Oryzias latipes: one gene and its partners. The protein of the gene in region 2 interacts with the protein of the main gene of each other region in a pairwise test. Links are inferred from orthologs where the notes say so. Each region holds a gene or a part of one and is shown on either strand. Other genes may lie near its edges.

Region 1 (6,869 bases), on a different chromosome or scaffold from region 2:
GACGTGTTTACAGGAGAGAAACGTCTGAAAGAGACGGTGCAGTTTGGTGTGGAGGGCAGCAGCACTTTCCTGGAGTGTCAGCCTCGCTCCCCTCAGGCCACAGTGAAGTGGCTCTTCCAGAGAGAAGGAAAGAGGAAAGTGGTGAGGAAAATCTGTCCTTTCATGCCAAAAAAAACCCAAAAAACTTTCACCTCATTCTAAACCTTCTAAAGCAAACTGAGAAGTGATACTGAAATTCATGGTAAAACCATGATTTTAGAAAAAGGTTATTTATGCATAAAACAGTTCTTGTTAAAACATTTTTTAATCAATTAATATATTTAGGTTAATCTGGATTTTAGGCACTAATTAAAAAACAAGATAAATGTTCAGTTTTTAACCATAAAGATCAAACAAACTGATAATTTATGACAATGTGTGTGACAAATAAATCAAAGTTAAAAAATATATTAAGCAAAATGTAATCTTTGATGCATCACCAAATGATCAACTCTGCACTTTTATTCAGGTCACATGTCACACGCCTTTGATGAGCTTCTCCATTGAAAAAAAACACCTGATTTTAAATATTAATGCATCAAACCGTTTAAAAATTCCAACTGATCATCAAAGGCAGATCTTTGTGAGACACATACTAATCACAAGAAGCACAACAGGCCTGTTAAAAAACAAGAAAAAATCTCAGAACCTGCTTTTCGTCACCAAAAAGTTAACTGTGGCTTTGTATTTCAGAAAATAAAGATAATGTAACATACCGATATATTTATATACGTGCTGAAGAAAACCAGTTAATTTGAAAGGGAATGCAAATAACAAATAAATAAACTGTAAAAATACATTCAAATTTTTGAATACATAAAGAATTGAGCAAAAATTGTAAGTTACATGTGATATTAAAAATTAGCTAACATTTACTTGAGTAATCTATTGTTGACCTCCTGAAATGTGCTCATAAATTTCCCCAATTATAAATAAATGCCTCTTTTAAAAAGATTACATAATCCAAAATGATAAATTTTTGGATTTTATGAGTTTTCAAACATTTGAGATGGATACATCCACGAATGTAAGCTGCTTTAGATGTTATTTTCATGTGAATTAACTTTATATTATTTTATATTAATTTCACTTTTGACATGTGAGCAACCATGTATTTACACTATTTTAAATAGTAAAAATATTTTATTTTTTAATCTTTTAAATTTGTAAATTTAAGGTTTTTGAAAAAAATCTTTGGTCTTTGGGTTTTTTAGTTTTTTTTTATACTGAACATTACTGTTTCATTACTGTTTTCAATACTTATTGGAAACCACTGAAAGCCACATTTTATTAGTGTATGTCAATAGTTGCATTAACCTGATATTTTTAGCAATTAATCAAAGTAAAAGGTTTCTTCTTTTTAAATCCCTCAATGAGACAAAAAGATCGGTGTGAGTTTTGTTGTTTCTTATTTTCTTTGCAGCTGAACCGAGCTGGAGGAGTTCTGAAGACCAACCACGGCATCCTGCTGAAGTCTCTCAATCAGTCAGATGCCGGTCTCTACCACTGCCTCGCCACTGAAAACAACTTCAAACACACGCTGGCTCGTGTGGCTTTGCGCATCCTCGACCGAGACATTGTCCTAGCACTCACCGCTCAAGATGAGGATGAGGAGCTGAAAACTCGCCAGGCGCCAGCCTACCCACGCCTGCCGGACTCTCCCACTCCATTTTCCCCGGAGATTAGACTAATCAACCAGTACTGCCAGACCTACTGGGAACCGGACAACACCAAACAACAGCAACAGCGCAAACGCACCAGCCGCAGGCACACAGAGAGCCAAGACCAGGGGCTCGGTTAGAACCTTGAACACCACCTGACTCGGGCCTGAATGGACTTTATTATGCTGAACTTTTCATTTTAAACATGTTGAGGTGTGACTTCCACTTATCACGTTACTGATGACATGTCTCTTTTTCGGTAAAGTGTTGATGGCTTTACAGGTGTCAGCCCTGAAACATGCATTTAAAATAAAGTTTACACAACTGATGACCACAAGCTAAACATTATGCGTCTGTGAATGCCAAAAAGCAACTTTATTATCATGTAAAGTCACTGTGGTTAAAAAAAAAAATACTAAGATAAATGAATAGTCAAACATGGAGGCTGCTCAGTGAAATAAAACACACTTTTCATAAAAGTTTGGAAAGAATCTGACAAAAACGCATAAGTATTGTGTACATTGTTGCATTAAAACATCCAAAAAACAGGTTTGCTTTCTTTCAAGAATCCTAAAAATGTAATATATTGATTGTGGATATAATATATGTGTTCATGACCTGTTCTACCATTGTATTGTATGAAGCGTATACTGACATAAATGCATATTTTGCATGCATATTGCTGTTTTTGCAAGTTGTACAATTGACTGTTGTTCCGTTTTCAGACTTGCCATGTTGCGATCTTTGTGAGGTGTAATGTATTCTGTTAAGCTAATTCCATTGGATGTAGATGTATAATGTTCGCCTCAGTGTCCTGTGCTTTTGTGAGCTATAGTGTGTGAATATTGAAGATGTGTGTAGCATACAGTGTTCTTCCAGTTATGCACTTTGTTGGTGGTGGCATTTGAGGGAAACAGGGATCTTTGCACAAAAAAATCTCTTTTTTATGTACAGTGTGTTATAAACTGGGTAATGAAACTGGCTTAGCAGTGCATTGATGGTGTTCATATTTTGCAGATTTACAAAGTAAATATGTACAATAAGAGCGAACAAAAAAAACTTTAGAAACTTTTCCTTAGAATTCTGGTAAAATGCATTCTGTATAAAACTTCACAGTCCTCAGTGTTAAATCTTCCCTTTTAATTCATAAAATACCAAATAATTGAGTCACAATTACTAAAAGTCAAATAGGTGAATAAAATAAGTGTTGGATATATGTCAAATAGACTTGGTTCATCATGATCATAGGAAACAGCTTTTCATCTTCAAAATCATGACCCAAAAAGTTGCTCTACTTGTGGCCCTTTGAGACATTTAAAATCTTTAAAAATAAGTTTTGGAAATTAATATGGATAGAACCATATTTAGGGGGTTTGAGACATGCTGTTTTTATTTTCGGAAAAGGAAGTGAATCCTACAGTGGAACATGGTGGTTGGTGGGACTATAAAAAAGATCCTGAAAATATTTTAAAGAATACTGTGAGCAGCTTTAAAGCATCTGCTGGTCTGGATCTTTGTGAAGGACAAAGACTAGAATTTTATCTTAAATGTCTGCAAGAACAGCTAGCTTAACTGTACCCACCCACGTGCCATTACACTTGTGTGTATATCCACTTAATCACCGACATGCCTTTAATACATACACTATATTGCCAAAAATAGTCGCTTCTCTGCTTGGACATAGATGAATTGAAGGGACATTGCTTCCACAAATCATTGGGTTTAATTGGAGGTTGGACCATTTTTTTCAAAATGAAGCTACCTTCACATCGCCCTCTGTAACACATGTTCACGTGACCACTTTTAATGAAAAGTCTGTGGAAATGCATGTAAATGCATGTTTTGGACTACCGTGTTAAAAACTCTCCCATTCGTGCATAGCTGTAATATTTTCAAGTCCATTTTCATGCTCTACATACAAAACGCGCGGTCAATGAACCAGCATTGCAAGTTAAACCAGGTTGAACTTTGACCAATGAGGGACTCAGATTTGGTAGTGACGTTTGGATGCCATCCCTTTTAATTCACACAAGTACAAACCGTTTGAAAATTGATCACAGAGCAGAAATGATCATGTTTTGTGCACGGCTGGAATTCTATGACATATAGACTTTCATATGTCGGAATAGAGCCGGAAAAGAAAAAGTCTGGAGTAAGATTCAAAGGATTTGCACCGCTTCAACATTTTGCACCAAGCCTTTCCCAACTGTGGGTGGCAGACATGCACTAGTAAAAAGCAGCAAAAGAAAAAGAAGAAGAAGAAGCCCCTCCCTACTAGTCCAGTGTGAACCCCATGGGCCAAATCTGCATTAAAGAACCCACGTTTAGCAGGTTCTTGGAGGTACATCACATGCCCGATGTGTCCGTAGCTTAACAGGTTTTACCACCAATGGGAAGGCTTTTCACAAGGGTTAATGGGAATGTTTGAATATTTTTCCAGAAGTACATTTGTCCAGTCAGACACTACTGTTGAACAATTATTGGCTCACAGTTTTCTCTCTAATTCACCCCAAGGCGTTTTATTAGGTTGAGGCCAGTCAAGTTCCTCTACACCGAATTCCTCATCCACGTTTTCATGCTCCTTGATTTCTGCACTGGTGTGTGGACATGTTAAAACAGAAAAAGGTCTTCTCCAATTGGTTTTCACAAAACGGAAAGCATGGAATTGTCAAAAAATCTTCTAAATATTGAAATATTGAGAAATTCTTTTTCTTAGAACAGAGGAGACAAGCTCAGCTCATGAAAAAACAACCCCACCACCAAACTTCATACATGGAGAGAACTCTTCAAAACTCTTGTAGCGGTACGGTATCTGATTTACGGTGTGTGGTTTGGGTGCAGATGCTGAGTCATGGAAACACATTCAATGAAGTTTCCCCCCGGTTTTGAACTAATTTGAAATCGGACGTTTGGAGGTTTGTAGGTCACAAATTTGGCAACCTCTGCGCACATCACATCAGTAGGAAACCCACCACCCATTTGCTGTTCGCTTCCACTTGGTCATAATATCCAGCAGCATGAAGGTTTAACAACTGTACCTGTTGCACAGGTATCAACCTATCCCATTGCGCCCCATGAGATCACTGCTAACCTGAGAACGATCCATTCTTTCCCACCCAATTACAAAAACAGTCTGCATTTATGAGTCGATGACCTTATACACCTGTTGTCATGGAAATGGCTAAAAACACCTACATTTAATTTTGCAATGAGTGAGTAAATACTTTTGGCAATGTGAGTACATATACATGAGTCATAGTCCAGTTTGAAATACGCGAGTCTGTGCCGAATTCATTGTATTTAACAGTTAAAAAGTAAAGAAGACACAAAAACCATCAACGTAAGATCAGTCATCCCATTCTTCATCGTCATCATCATCATCTCCTCCCTCATCTTCACTTTCATCTGAAAAGTGAGGACATAAAAATGTTACATTTGTCTTCTTCTGACAGCTCAAGTCAAGCACGTATGTGATCACAGCAGTTGATTTCCAGCATTTACCAGAGGAATGGATGACTTTACTCCTCTTCTGCATGACCATCATGAGAGCACCCACAATGCCCGGGGCCGGTTCTGCCGCCGCAGGTGGAGCTGGATCAGAGTTCTCCACCTGTATCAGAGAGGGAGGATTAAACAGAATTTTTATAAATCTTAAAATTAATAAATAAGTAAATTAAACATGGAAATCTGAAAACTGATTATCTTTTGTATTTCTTGGAAAAAAATAACCTTTTTGAGACTTTTCCCTAGTCGGATCTGGTCAAGCAGCGCTCCTCTGCCTTCTCCTCCCGCAGACGTCTGTGCAGGTTGTGGGGAATCAAAACTTGGTGGAGGAGGTGGAAAATCTGAAGGAATGGGGGTTTGAGGAGGTGGAGGTGGGGGTGGTGGAGGCGGTGGTGGAGGTCCCCCTCCCCCTCCCCTGGTGGGTGCTGATGGGACAGGGGGAGGAACCCCCATGGAGCGTTTGTTTGATGATGATGGTGGTGGGGGTGGTGGCATGATGTGGGAGGACACTTGGAATGAGGCACCCTGTTTTGAGGAGGGTGGAGCCTGCGGAGGGGGTGGGGGTAGGCCCCCTCGGCTTGATGGAGGCGGAGGTGGCAGGCCCCCACGTGGTGGAGGTGGATTTGGAGTCGGGCTCCCCCGCTGGGATTGACCTGGGAGCGGTGGTAGAGGGCCGGAGCGACCTCGAGGGGGCGGAGGGGCTGGAGCGGAAGACCCAGAGCCGGGCAGAGGAGGCAGGGCTCCCTGTCTGCCATGTGGAGGTGGTGGAGGTGCAGCAGCTGGTAGAACATGTGAGTTATGCATTTAGCAGAGGCTCTGAAAATGATCAAACGATCAAACATATGCATCCAACCTGCTCTGTTTGCCTCCTGTTGGACAGCTTCAATTCCCCCGGACTGCTCAATGACATTATAGATGAGCTGGGAGGTCTTCTCGTCCTTGAGGTCAGCTTCACTAATGCCCGCCTGGGAGAACAGCTTCAGCAGATTAGGGTCAATGTTATTGGGGTCCCATCCAACATGCGACACATGCCTGGCAGAGAGGAGAGCAGGAATAAACAGACAGCAACACATGAGTACCTCTAAAGACTCCATTTCTTACGTAAACCCGCTGGGAGCTCCTATGTCTGCCTTGGACAGTTTAGGACCTTTTTTCTTGCTTTTCTTGCTTTTCTTATTATTAATAACTACAGCTGTAGCAGCAGGGGGTGGAGGCATGGTGCGATAACGTGAAGACTGGATGTCTGGGTTTTGGATGTCCACTGTTGCCATGTGAAAGGAACCGTGGTTACCAGCTGCTGCTTTTTAGAAAGAAATTCCAATTAAGACACTATCATATATTTATTTAATTTGAAAAAAAAATATTGAAACCACAATTTGAAATTGAATTTGAAAAAAGACACCTTTGTCAGGAGGAACTGGAGGCAAGGAACCTCGATCTACAACAAAACAGAGGAGAAAAAATGATATTCTGAAATGCAGGAGGAATTTATCCAAAAATAGTGTAAAAAATGTGTATTTACCAGGCGTCGGTAGGGGGCGCTGTTTCTTATCTGTCAACAGGAAAAAAAATTCAGGCCACCAAAAACACTTGAATGAGTGCAAACTGTTTCTTTCAGTATTTTAACAACAAAAAATCTTACCATATAACTTAAAAACACAGAAT
Region 2 (6,987 bases):
TCTGGCTGGTGGTTTTGCTGAGAGGAGATTTGTAACATGTTAGGCCTTGTTTTTCCGCACCTTTCAGGTGAGCCAAAGACTTGTAATCCGAGATCACAGGGAACCTCAAGCAAAGGAAAGGTGTTGGAGATTAAGATGGATAACAGCAGCACTGAGTCTCAAAAATAGAAAGACATAGAATACATAATATTTCACCAGAGAAACCCCTCAAAGTGTGGAGTTAAGATGGTCTTGCTTTTAATATAAACAGAAAACAGTCTATACACTTTTTTTCTGTACAGTGCATTAAGGTCTAAAACAGCTAATTGTTCTACAACTTCTTTTATTTGCTGTTTTTACATTACTGAGTGAGGGATACAAACTACAACTGTTTTTCTAAGAAATGGTTTTTATGTCAGCTATAGTTGCAAAGTACAAGAAAAACTGAAAATGAACGTGGAATATTTTGGTGGTAATATGAATTAAATTATATATTTTTAAAATGTTTTTTTTTTATTCTGTGTTCTCCTTTAAGTTTAATGTAAATTGAGGTTGGCCCATTAAATAATTTTCTTTATTGGTAGACAGAACTCAAAAACCTGCAGTTCCTTATCTCAAATTCAAAAGAGTATCCTTTGCTTTTTTTAAAACTTCAAAATTAGTGTTGTTATTCTGATATATTAAAGTATGGTGCACGCGTTGATCAATTCCTTTCATTTCTTACCAGGGGCTTCAACTTTTTTCAGAATTGCCTCAAAAATTGCTTGGAGGAAAATTGTTCAAAAGTGATGGTACAGGCTTAGCATAAGGAGGCAGACTGGATGATGGGTTGTCATGGAAACTTAAAATGTCCAAACATCACCATTTAAGTAAAAAAAAAATTGTATCATAGAATGTTTTACATTTGGGTACATTTAACTCATCCTGGGAAAACTACATTTGTTCTGCGTGGTCCAGTTTTCAGTCTGACTTAGACCAATGCTGAATTTATAGTGTAAGCAGTTCGCTGTTCCTCTAATTTTGACTTGTGGCTTCACACAATGTCTGCAGTCTCACAATACACAATACAATGCCAAATTGCAAATAATCTGTTACAGAGAAATGCCATAGGTAAAAAAAAAACAACCTATGTTTATTTTATTCCAACTGAACAAAAAAAAAAAATTTACCGTAAATTAATGATGAGGTCAACATCACAGCAAATCAATCAAAATGATTAAATATACTCTAATCTGTTCAGTTTTACTGAAGAATTATTTGTGACTCCAAAGAACAGAAATAAAATCAAATAAAATATAATAAAGTATGAAATCCACAATTATACAGTTTGAAGTAAAAGGGGTTTAAATAATCCCCATCCTGACCATGTGCAGAGCAGCTGGTGACCGTATAAAGGAGGAAATATGCCTCTTCTTATTTTCTTTTTTTAAAGAAAAATCCACTGCAAAGGCAAAACGACAAAGTGTGGACTTGGACCTTAACCAGTTGGGGTTGAGGAAACATAAAAAAAAAAGAGACTGAAATGTTACAAAACCCCAGTGCTTTTGTGATATGCACTATGAGAAAAGAAATACTGTTTTGTTGGTAAAAAAAAAAAGGAAGGAGAGAAGAACTGATAGCCACACAGAACTAAATAGGATGACTTTAGACAACAATATCTATACAATTCATCCAGAGATTGTCCTTCTATACGGTAAAGACTGTGTATCGAGGCTCTACACGAGAGGAGCTTCACATTTTTTCACATAGGCTTTGATAGCCAAATAACCTGACATAGATTCACAGAACAGGCCCAAACCATGATGCTACCAACAATATTGATTACAATCCAACTGTTGCAAGTCCTTTTCTATTTATTAATTTAAAAAAAATTCTACACATTCACATCATATTTTACTTTTATTTTTTTACATATTTTACTCAACATAGAAAATATTATTGCAATTATTTGCAGTTGTGCTCTAAAGTTTCTAGCTCATGCAGCTTGTAGGAAAACTTTATCATGTTTTCTGTTTTATTTATTTTACAAACTACATTTCATCTTTAGCTCTTAGTATTTTACATATTTTGTCTGCACATATTTCTTTTGTGGTTGTTGTCTTTGTCTTGTTTTCCTGCTGCTAAGCCTGTGACATAGTTGATGAGGTGGGTAGAAGAAGAAAAAAATGCAGGTAGGCATTTATTCACTTGAACCAGCTCGATAAAAACCACAGCTGCTGCCGGAAACCTGTGACTGCAAACATGGTTTTCAACAAATAAAAGGCCTTCTCTCAAGTCAAAGCTTAGTTTTTCTTTATGTTTACGCTTTCAAGTTAGTACATTAAAAATATGTTTTTTTAGCCGTTGATCATTTTATGAAGCAAAATCTGTGTTTCATCAATAAAAAAAATACTGAATAGAAGGACACTTGTTGAAACCACATTAACCATTTCCAAAACCTAAAATGCATTTTCAATTAACTAACACATACAAATCCCATTTAAGCCATTAAATGCATCATGAAAGAAAACCAACTTTTTTATGACAACCGTCACAGGAAGAACAACTATGTTCAGGTAAATAAGGCATCCTATAGGAGTTACCATCACAAAGTCATTCAAAGAAGTTATCGATATTCCAAAATTAGCTTTAGAGGTTTTAGAACATAAACTACCACAAAATTTTCCTTAGTTTAGTTTCTCTGAGTCACAGAAGAACAATCCCAAGAATTCTTTCTGGGTGACATTTTAACCCGTTAAACCCGCCGTGTCATCAAGTGAAAGCCGCAAAGCATCTGAAGGAGCTGCACAGGAAGTCACTTGATAACATTGCTGCTGTGAACATCAAGCCCTGAGTCACTGACTATCTGAACTAGAGGCAGATCTGCCACACAGGAGGGATGTTCACCATCACCCCCTGAAGAAGACACGGGGATCTTGCATGGCACAAAGTGTGGCTTAAAATAGCCACCAGATTACAATCAGGGGACAGATGCCAAAGGGTTGACTTGCTCCACAGGTTGACTTAAGAGCCAAACATTCACAAAACCAATTAGGGCTGCAGAGCTTTGTGCAGCTAGACAAGTGAGATCACACCAAACACAAGAGTCACGGTAAAATATCCACAACACCTAAAATCAATACTAGATTTTATGCATTTATCCATGACAGTTTATTAGGTTTATTGTTGAGAATTTCAACTAAGTCTATTGTAAAGTGGCACAACTAAATAGAGGGGGGAAAAATCTGGAAAAAACAAAAAAGCCTAAGTAAAATGTTTGATAAACACTGGGTCCTTGCACGAATCAAAGTAGGACAAAAACTAATTAGGCTATCGCAGCAACCAGCACAGGATGATAAAAGGGACAGGGGAAGAGGCCTAGGGGGAGACTGCAATGAGGTCAAAATCTCCCCTACCCTGCATCTCTGCAATGCTCCACTTCAGACTATTCAGGTTTACAGGGAGCATGTGCATGCTTCTGTTCTGAACATGCTCAATCCTGACAGTGGCGATATATAGTTTCTGAACCCCTTCATTTAAATGCATACCCAGTCCTGCGCGCGCACAGAAGGTGCATGATGGTACAGCAGTGATGTGGGATGTTGCCAAGAAACAGCACATCAGCTGATCAGATCTCTATGTAAACTAACACAAAGGACGCTGTCGTGCATCGGTGACTGAACAGGAAAAAAAAATGCATGTTTGCTGCGTCCTGTTTGAAAGAAAGATGACTTTAATCTAAAAATGTTAGAGCAAATAAATTGTTTGATTTTACTTTGAAGTAAACGTTTAAAAGTCGAGATGCGTTCATGACCAAACTTTCTTTAGACACTGATTACAAGCTCTTTTCCAACTCTCGTCTTTCAGAGTCTAAAAATATGTATATTTTTCACTTTCTGAGTTTACACAAGAGTCGACTGATGAACTCACCCAAAGGTCCGTGCCCCAGTCCATGTTCCGCTGGGTTTGCAGCGCTTTCTCCCGAGTACAAAGAAGTTCTCCAAAGTTATCCCAGCCGCTCGCAGGGAGGGAGGCCCCGCAAAAAGCTCTAATCCCGACGCGCTGAATCGGCCTCAAACACGACACGCTGCGGGGTTGATTTCGCTTGCAAATCACGTAAAACCCGCATCAAGATGAAGTAATCAACCTGGGCTGGCAGTCGTTAGGCTTGTTAGTCCAAATATTTTTCATAGCAAAGGAAACAGGGACAAACTGGCTCTCATGTCCGCGTCACTCCCAAATCCTAAATCTTAAAGGGCCAGCGCGCTAAAGCCAGGCCCTCCGTGCCACATCCTGACGGCCTGCAGGGGCGCGTCCAGCACACAGGGGGGTCAGGGGCTCAACAACCAGTACGGGTGACTTCACTGAAGCAGTACTCCAAATATGTCATATAGACAATTTCATCTGACTTCAAATGAAAAGAAAAACAAATAAAAACAGACATTTTCAAATGTGCCATTTTGGTCTCTTATTCTAAATATATATTGAGATAAAAAAAAAAAACATTTCAAAGCAAACAAAACGTTAAAAAAATTACAAAACAGAAATGATTGTTCTTAACATGCATACACATAAAAAATCATACCAAATATACTGCCAACCTTCACTAATAAAAATAACTGACATTTACCAGCTCTGTTTCTGTATCAAGTTTGCAAATATTTTAACACAATTCAGAAAAACCTAGCTCAACAGACTTCAAAAAAGGATTATGTCTGTTGTTCAACATTCCATACACTACCAAAACTGAATGGTTAGAAAGAAAAAAACTTTATTCTTGCAAAAAAAAAATTGTTGTTGCAAAATAATTTTAGTTTAAGAAAACATGTCTTCTTGACTAGAATTTTCTTTCTCAAGAAAAAAAAGTCTTGGTAAGACAATTTTTTTGTGCTTATTTAAAGAAAAATTTTCACATTTTAAGACGTTTTGACTTATTTGCAGAGTAAACACTCCTCTGATTGGTCAAAACTATTATAAATAATAAAAATAAATTCTCAGCTTGGCAGTCATGCAAAAAGGAAACGGACCTTGACTACAGTTAGCGTGTGAAATGTAGCTGCAGTCAAAACTGCAGTAGAAGAGGTCTGCCCTTCTTTACTGTCACATGCCTGTAACTGTTGGCAAACTTATTTTGGGGGCAGCAGCAGCTCAAAGTGACACTTCCAGTCACAGCATCTGATCTCAGTGACTCTGGTATCAACGTTAAATAATATCTGGTTTGTTTGGTGAAGGAAAGCTTAATGAGATTTATATTTATGTATTTACAGCTTTATTCTAAATACGTAGGCATCAATTGTTGTCTTCACATGCACAATCAGTGCCCAACTGCATGCAATGGTGAATTGGACACTTTTGAAGATAAAGCTGTTAAAAAATGATATTTTTTACTCATTTTATATCCATAAAAATAGGATATTGCGTATTTAATTTTAACACTGTAAAGCAATGACACAGGATTAATTAAATCATTTTATGAAAAAAGGAAAAACCTTTTGGTTTGGCTTTGATTGTTCAGCATGTCCACAGCCAGCTGAGGAAGATGAAGTTCCTCATGACCACCATATCAACCTACAGTCAGCAGACAGTCTGACTTATCTTGAATTTTGTACAATACTTTCTGTACTATCCAGATAAAGTGTAAAACAAAAATTATTCCAAACAACTTCAGATTTGGATACCTCTTCACAAGTAGCATCCAGGCTTTAACTGTCTATCAACGCTCATATTTGCTCAGAAATGCTGAGTCTTCTTTCAGTTCCCCAATGACGCACGACGGGTCTTGGAAAAATGAGTTTCACTTTATCTTTGCAGAGCTGAAACTGATTTATTGAGTTGATCAGTACCAGGTTTGTAGTATATGTTTGATTAGAAATTCAGATGTATAAAGAGAACGATCATCTCAGCGCGGTTGCATTGACACGGTTGCATTGACACCTCAAATTTGCCTTATTTCTTTCCACAACAATTTAATCAGGCTTTGTGAACAAGTAATATCGGTTACGTCCAAACAACTCTCAGTTTCCTTTTTTGAGTACAGTTTTTACATTTTAATGTGCAAACTATTACGTCATAACCGTAAGAGTTTGTCACAATTTCCTAGCATATTAGTTGCTTGAGAAACTGAGTAATGGACCAGCCCCCTTTAAAAGTAACCGTCTCCAAAGCTAAATTCAATATTTTCCATCATTTATTAAGTTGTCACAAAATCACTTGATTTTTGTTCTAACATCAAAATAAATGAGAGAAGTCAACAAAAACTGGAAAATCTATTCCCCTTTCTCCATCTTGTAAAGAGGTGGTATTTATTGTCACATGAATAATAATATACAATAACATGAATACTTTTACAAAAAAAACATACATTTCTTTAAATTGAGTTACTGAACTAATTGCTCTTAAAGGATATATGTTGTAACAACAAAAAAGTATGAAACTTGAAATTTTCTATGATATACAGTAAAAATGTAACTTGAAAACACAAAACACGTGTGGGTCAACACAACACAAGTTTGTTGATTTTACTGAGGTAACAGCATTGTGCTTCCGTACCTAAGGATTCGCTGCAGCAGTTATATTAATCATGGGGATCTGTGAGGGCTCCTGGTTTTTAACAACATTATATTTGCCACGTTTTCTCTTCTTGTAAAAAAACAAAACAACCAAAAAGACGAGGAGGAGGGTGAGGAAGATGCTACAGATGATGATCCACAAAACAGAGCCAGAGAGAGGCCCATCACTGGTTTTCCCTGTAAGATAAACCAAATAACCTACATAAAAATTGTGTTTTTCATCTGTAATCCACTTTGTAACCAACCGAAGTGTTTCCCCCTCAAGCAATCCCCATACATACCCATCTCAATCAGTAAAACAGATCTTGTCACCCTTCCAAGTTTATTTGAGGCAACACAGATGTAATGGCCAGCATTGGTAGACGTGGCTCTTGTGATGGTCATGATCTTGTGGCGCCCCACAGTGGCCATATGCAGATTCTCAGCAGAAGTGAAGTTCCAGTGGGTCTCTGGTTCAGGG
Region 3 (5,436 bases), on a different chromosome or scaffold from region 2:
CACAAAGAAAACCTTGGTAGGCCACGAAAACACCCGGATCTCACTGGATTGATCTGGACTGAGGAAGAACCTTTGAGATGTTTGATGGTAGAACTGTTCAGGGTGACTTTCACCTCCAACCTTCAGCTTCTGGGTTGAGTACAGTGACCTTGTGACCCTGTGTTCCAACAAAGATCTTTAAGTTAAATTTCAGAATTCAAAGACCTTTTTAAAGCCATGCATATAAAAAAAATTAAGACTAACTTCTCAGCCTCCTTCCCCTTTTTATTCATTTATTCCTGTGTTCTGATCCAAACTGCAGCTTCTGATCTTGTTTGTGGTCTGTGTTGCGATGCTTTGGCACGTCTTTTTCTGAACAGGCAGTGGGGTTTTCACCGTCCATAACGGTTGGTTCTTCCGCTCTTTATTTACATTATTTGATCAAAATTATTGTGTTTTTGACAAAACGTATGAAACAGAGAAGTTTCAAACAACACAATTTTTAAGGCTCAGACATCACGTCAGGCCTTTTGACCCTCTGTTGCAGTAGTTTTTTTTATCTCTAACGGCTGCTTTTGCTCTGTATTTTCACTCATTTATTTTTGTTTAAATTCACTTTATCCTCTGTGAAAGCCACGTTTTTGCTGTTTGTATTTGTGAATGTCTGTTTTTGCTGCCGAAGACAAGACAATTTCCCCTTTGAGGGATAAATAAAGATGATCCATTCTATTCTAAACATTTCTTAAGGCATTATTTCTAAATTCATAAATTCAACGCTTTTAAGACTTTTTTAATGAATGAATGAAGATCTACTCTATTGACTTTATTTAGCACTTTGACAGAACCATAATTGTTCCTAAATAAAGAGACAGATGAATAAAGAACAGATGTTGGTTTGAACATCTTAAAAAAGCAGCTGCTCTGTGAAACAATTTCTAAAATGGAAAACATATTTGGATTTTTAATCATGCTGATCCATTTTTTCTGGATCTGTAATTTTACCAGAACTTTTTCTCACATATAATGTAAAATAAAGTACAGCGTATTCAAAATAACACAATGACAAACATTTAAAGGTAGTAGAATCTTTTGGGTTCATTTCTATGCAGAGCATCTCCGTTTCCTAAAGTTTGTCTTTGTCTATTGTTAAAAAAATAGCAGAAATGATGGCAAAACTCCTTAGATTATCTGTTTTATTGCAGAGGATAAATGCAAATTCTGATGGATTAATATTATAATCTAGTTGAAAAAGAGATTCAATCATATTTTTCATAGTAATAGTTTAGTTTTATCAAATATTATAGAAATATTATAGTTTTTTTCTTATTGCATCTTTACAATATTTAACAACAACTACATGTAATAATAAGCACATGTAAAAGTTTTCTTAGAAAATCTCTGAGTCACAAAAAGGAGCAAAGACTCAGACGCATTCATCAAAATCTTTATTATTTACAATAGGCTTAACACTGATAAGCACAACTTCACAGTAACATAAAGTGAGCTTTAAATAAAAAAAATCATATTTTTGTACAATAAAAAAGTTAACATCAGACATTTTATCCCTGTTTCATTCACTGTGGTGTGTCTGTGTTGATCTTACATTGCACTAATCCAACTGAAGAAGTGGCCTTTGGTATCATGTTGTGTACACACATTCTCCAGAACCCCCTTTCCTTTCAAAATAAAAGGGAGACATTGTAAAAACAAAATAAAAGCACGAGAAAGAACCCAGTAGCAGAAACGGGAGGAAGGAAAAAAAACAAAAACACGTGAACCATTGAGTTTTATGGCAAATATAACTTTTATATTTTCAATAAAACATTTTGAAGGGCTGTCCAAAGAGGGGGGGGGGGGGGGGGGGGGGCTGCAGTTTTAGTGTCTTCTTGTCAAGCATCACTGATCAAACTACACCTCCGTATAGATGTTCATGTTATGGCTTCTTAAAGCAGCCTTTAAGGTACGCCGACATACAGGGATTCCTTGAAGTTACTGTCGATTTTCTACAAAAAGGCACCAAAATGACAAAAACACAAAAAGGAGAAATTATTTCATCACAAAATAATTCAACCCAATAACTTCCATCAAGTTTCATTGCTAGATGTGTGTTGGAGCTACAGTGTTGTCCGATTCTTCAGCATTTGTTATGGTTGATTGCGTCTCAGATCATATCCAGTGTACATAGGATGTGTGCTCGGGGGGCAAATAAGCAACCTGTGGGCAGTTAGTGTGACTGAGGAAAGAATATGGCACCTTAGAGAAGCAAAGACACGTTTGACCGGGTTCAGAACAGAAGACCAATACATTCAGAGCGCGTGTTCAGATCTGGGTGGACGTTTCTCTATGGCCACACACTTTGTGTGTACATGAAATAAATCACATATTTATAAACCTCTATATGTCTGTGCTTTGAAGAAAAAAAAAAAGAATAATTTAAAATTCAAGTTCATACATTCTAAAGACATTTGTTGAAACAAACAAACTCATGTGCTGGAGAAATACTGCAACCTGCTGTAGGTTTTAGTTCCACTGGTTTTGTTAAGTGGGAAAAATCTGAGGCACTGTAAACAGGAGAAGGCTGCAGGGCGTCCGGCCGGCGCTGTGAAGGGCACTTAGAGCTGAGCCGCCCCCCCATGTGGCTCCCCATAGCACCTCCTCCAACATTCAGTGTGCAGCAGCGTCCACTTGGTGGGAAGTTCTGGACTGTGGCGTTCCACACGTGACAGTTGGGAACGTCACGGAGGAGCAGAAGTGCCGTTTCAACGGTTCAGCGCTGTGGGGAACAGACGGTAAACACGGTTCCATGAGTCGACCCTTCTCACAACGGACCAAACTGTCATTTCAGCCATTTTTCTGACCATTTTGAACCCAAACGCCTCCATTAACGCGTCAAATTTTCTCATTTGATCACAACTGTCAGACTTAAAGAAGCACGGAGCCCAGAAGGTCAGGTTTGGGTTTGGAGGCCGTTTCCTCTGTAAGGCTGGTCATGGACGCCTTCACTTTGACCCTTGACATTCGCTTCAGGAGGCCGTTCTGACTGCCCGATGGAAACGGCGTGTTGGGTGAAACTCTTTCTGGATATTTACAGCTGTGAGATGCGATAGCGTCCACACTGGCATGTTATGAAAACCGCTTTTTGTAAACAAAAGAAGACATGTTGTAGTGATTTCCGTGAGGTACTTTCATGTTGTGCCCCTCATAAACAGCTCTGGCTGGAACCAGAACCGTGGTGACGGTCAGGATCAGTGACGTCACAGCGGCTACCTCTGGACCACGTCACTAATCTCTTTGATGCAGCTGTGCAGGTTGTCCAACACGGCGTTGGGTCCCGTGTGGCCCAGCCCCCCGCCCCCCGAGGACGACGCCCGCAGCTCCTGCAGGCTGAGCTCCAGCTTGCCCACAGCCTCCCGGAAGGCGAACTTGTTCCGGGTCAGAGGGATGCAGTCCACGTAACCCGAGCAGCAGTCCAGCAGCTGGTGGCCGGCGTCCAGAACCTGGCTGCTGGAGGGGCTCTCGCAGCTGGCGTGGAGGGCGCTGCTCAGCCCCTCGGCGCACACCAGCAGGGCCTCCCGGCTGACCCGCTCCAAAGGGACCCGCTCCGCCTGCTGCCGGGCTCGGCGCAGGGCCCCCTTGGAGCCCACGGACGCTGCTGTGTGCAAGGAAGCAGTGGTGGGGGCTCCGTTGGCCATTTTGGTGGGGGTTGTGTTGGCGCTGGCGGGGCACGAGGAGGAAAAGGAGGAGGAAGAAGCAGGAGGCACTTGAGGTGGTGGCACTGACGGTCTGCTGGCTCCTCCTGACGCTCGCCCCGACCTGTGACCTTTCAGCGTGTCTCCGTTCATCTCTGCGGGGGCTTGGTCCTCTCCGCTGCCGCTGGGGGCGGGCTGCAGGCTACGCAGAGTGGGAGGTGGAGGAGGAGCACATTTGGGTTTGACCAGCCGGGGCCGGTCTTTGTCTGCTTGGTTCTCCGACAGCAGTTTGAAGCGGTTCCCCTGAGAGTCCAGCCCCACCAGATGCACGTCGGCGGGGCTGTGCTTCAGGGTGGGGGAGATCAGGACGGGGACTTTGTGGTTGTGAGTGGGGGCAGACGACATGCTCCCCTTAGACGGGGAGGACCAGCTCTGCTGCCGGTCCAGCCCCGGGCTCTCCTCTCTGGTCCGGGACGTGCCGTCAGAGCCCGCCTCCCCTCCCACGCCCGGCGCCCTGCCGGCTGCCCCGCGGGGCAGCAGCTTGGCTTTGGGCCTCTCCCTGATCTGCGCGGTGCCCTCGTCCATCCTCTTCAGCAGGGTTTCGGACGGCCTGGCGGCCCCGTTCTCCGGCTGGGAGGTGGTGGAGGCAGTCCTCTCCAGGAGGGGCTTGGCGCTGTGGTTTCTGGGTAACGTCAGGGCCATGCGCTCCAGGTCTGGCAGTCCCGCTGACATGGAGGAGGTAGAATTGGACCGAGGAAAAGGCTTGGGTCCTGCGCCTAAACCGCCGCCCTCGTCGGAGGAGGCCGTCTTTCCGCTCCGCAGCCCCAGCGTCTTTTTGATGAGTCTCGGGGTGAAAAAGCCAGCCAGCCCCCCCCAGCTGCTCCCGCTGGTAAGCTGGGAACTGAAGCTTCCACTGGAGGGTTTCTGGCCGAACGCTGCACCACAGCAGCGGGGCTGCGTCTGGTTGGGCTCCCCGTGGGAGTGGGACGGAGAGGGAGAGAACCCCCCGACGCCGTCCGGCTGGGGCAGGGGAAGGGGAGCGCTGAAGTCCGCCGTGGGTTCGTACTTCTTGTGAGGCTGCGTCTCCTCCCGGAAGGAGCTGCTCCTCTTGGGGGGGGTCGGGAGGTTCTGTTGCTGCGAAGACTGCGAGGAGGAGGAGGATTTCTTCTTGATGAAGGAGCTGAAGAAGCCGGTCTTGCGGTCTCTGGTGAATGTGCCCATGTCTTGTACGTCCTCCAAGAGGCTGCTGGGAGATTTATCCCGCAGCTGCTGTTTCCTGGGGAGCGCCGGGGAGCCGCCGAACCGGCCGTCCCCCCCGAGGGATACGGGCGCCCAGCCTGGAGGGAGGGGGGACAAGAGAAAAGGATCACAAGCTGGATCACATCCATGTTTAATTCAAAGACTCTAGAAGTGTCTAAAAGTAAAAGAAACATTTAGGGCTCCGCCCCTTTTCCTGCATCAAAACAAAATTTAGATTTAAATTTTTTTTTCAAGCAATCAAAGCAAGAATAATGCACAAAACAATACAATCAGCAAATCAAAGATGGAGTAGAAGGAATGAGGCTGAATCTAAAGCTGCTTTTTAAAACTCATGAGCAACAAAAAAAAAAGCACTTCAGGAAAATAAATGGGAATTTTAAGACCCTGCAACCTATGAATAATGACGTATAGCAGTATGATTGATTATATACATCCAAGAGACTCTGGTCTTAGAGGGGAAACTCATTTTTAACGCCTACATTTATTTCCAGCTAGGAAAAAAAAGATC

The links.
Region 1: the proteins of trip10 (region 2) and was interact in a two-hybrid assay, tested with the Homo sapiens proteins (2 studies listed by BioGRID). The link is inferred for Oryzias latipes from reciprocal best matches to the Homo sapiens genes TRIP10 and WAS.
Region 3: the proteins of trip10 (region 2) and abl2 interact in binary tests that used the Homo sapiens proteins (3 or more experiments, as listed by UniProt). The link is inferred for Oryzias latipes from reciprocal best matches to the Homo sapiens genes TRIP10 and ABL2.

What each region holds. Positions count from the first base shown.
Region 1 is NC_019865.2:21,093,440-21,100,308, reverse strand, and holds the end of was (wiskott-Aldrich syndrome protein), read right to left. Parts: intron 6,757-6,869; coding exon 6,727-6,756; intron 6,643-6,726; coding exon 6,607-6,642; intron 6,505-6,606; coding exon 6,306-6,504; intron 6,237-6,305; coding exon 6,058-6,236; intron 5,984-6,057; coding exon 5,430-5,983; intron 5,311-5,429; coding exon 5,202-5,310; intron 5,106-5,201; coding exon 5,047-5,105; 3' UTR 2,051-5,046; downstream 1-2,050. Other genes in the region: semaphorin-3F, read left to right, coding at 14-141, 1,463-1,840. UniProt on the Homo sapiens protein: Effector protein for Rho-type GTPases that regulates actin filament reorganization via its interaction with the Arp2/3 complex. Important for efficient actin polymerization. Possible regulator of lymphocyte and platelet function.
Region 2 is NC_019866.2:8,477,644-8,484,630, reverse strand, and holds the start of trip10 (cdc42-interacting protein 4), read right to left. Parts: upstream 4,238-6,987; 5' UTR 3,913-4,237; coding exon 3,889-3,912; intron 1-3,888. Other genes in the region: icam5 (intercellular adhesion molecule 5), read right to left, coding at 6,508-6,704, 6,809-6,987. UniProt on the Homo sapiens protein: Required for translocation of GLUT4 to the plasma membrane in response to insulin signaling. Required to coordinate membrane tubulation with reorganization of the actin cytoskeleton during endocytosis.
Region 3 is NC_019862.2:31,428,292-31,433,727, forward strand, and holds the end of abl2 (Abelson tyrosine-protein kinase 2), read right to left. Parts: intron 5,006-5,436; coding exon 3,243-5,005; 3' UTR 1,403-3,242; downstream 1-1,402. UniProt on the Homo sapiens protein: Non-receptor tyrosine-protein kinase that plays an ABL1-overlapping role in key processes linked to cell growth and survival such as cytoskeleton remodeling in response to extracellular stimuli, cell motility and adhesion and receptor endocytosis.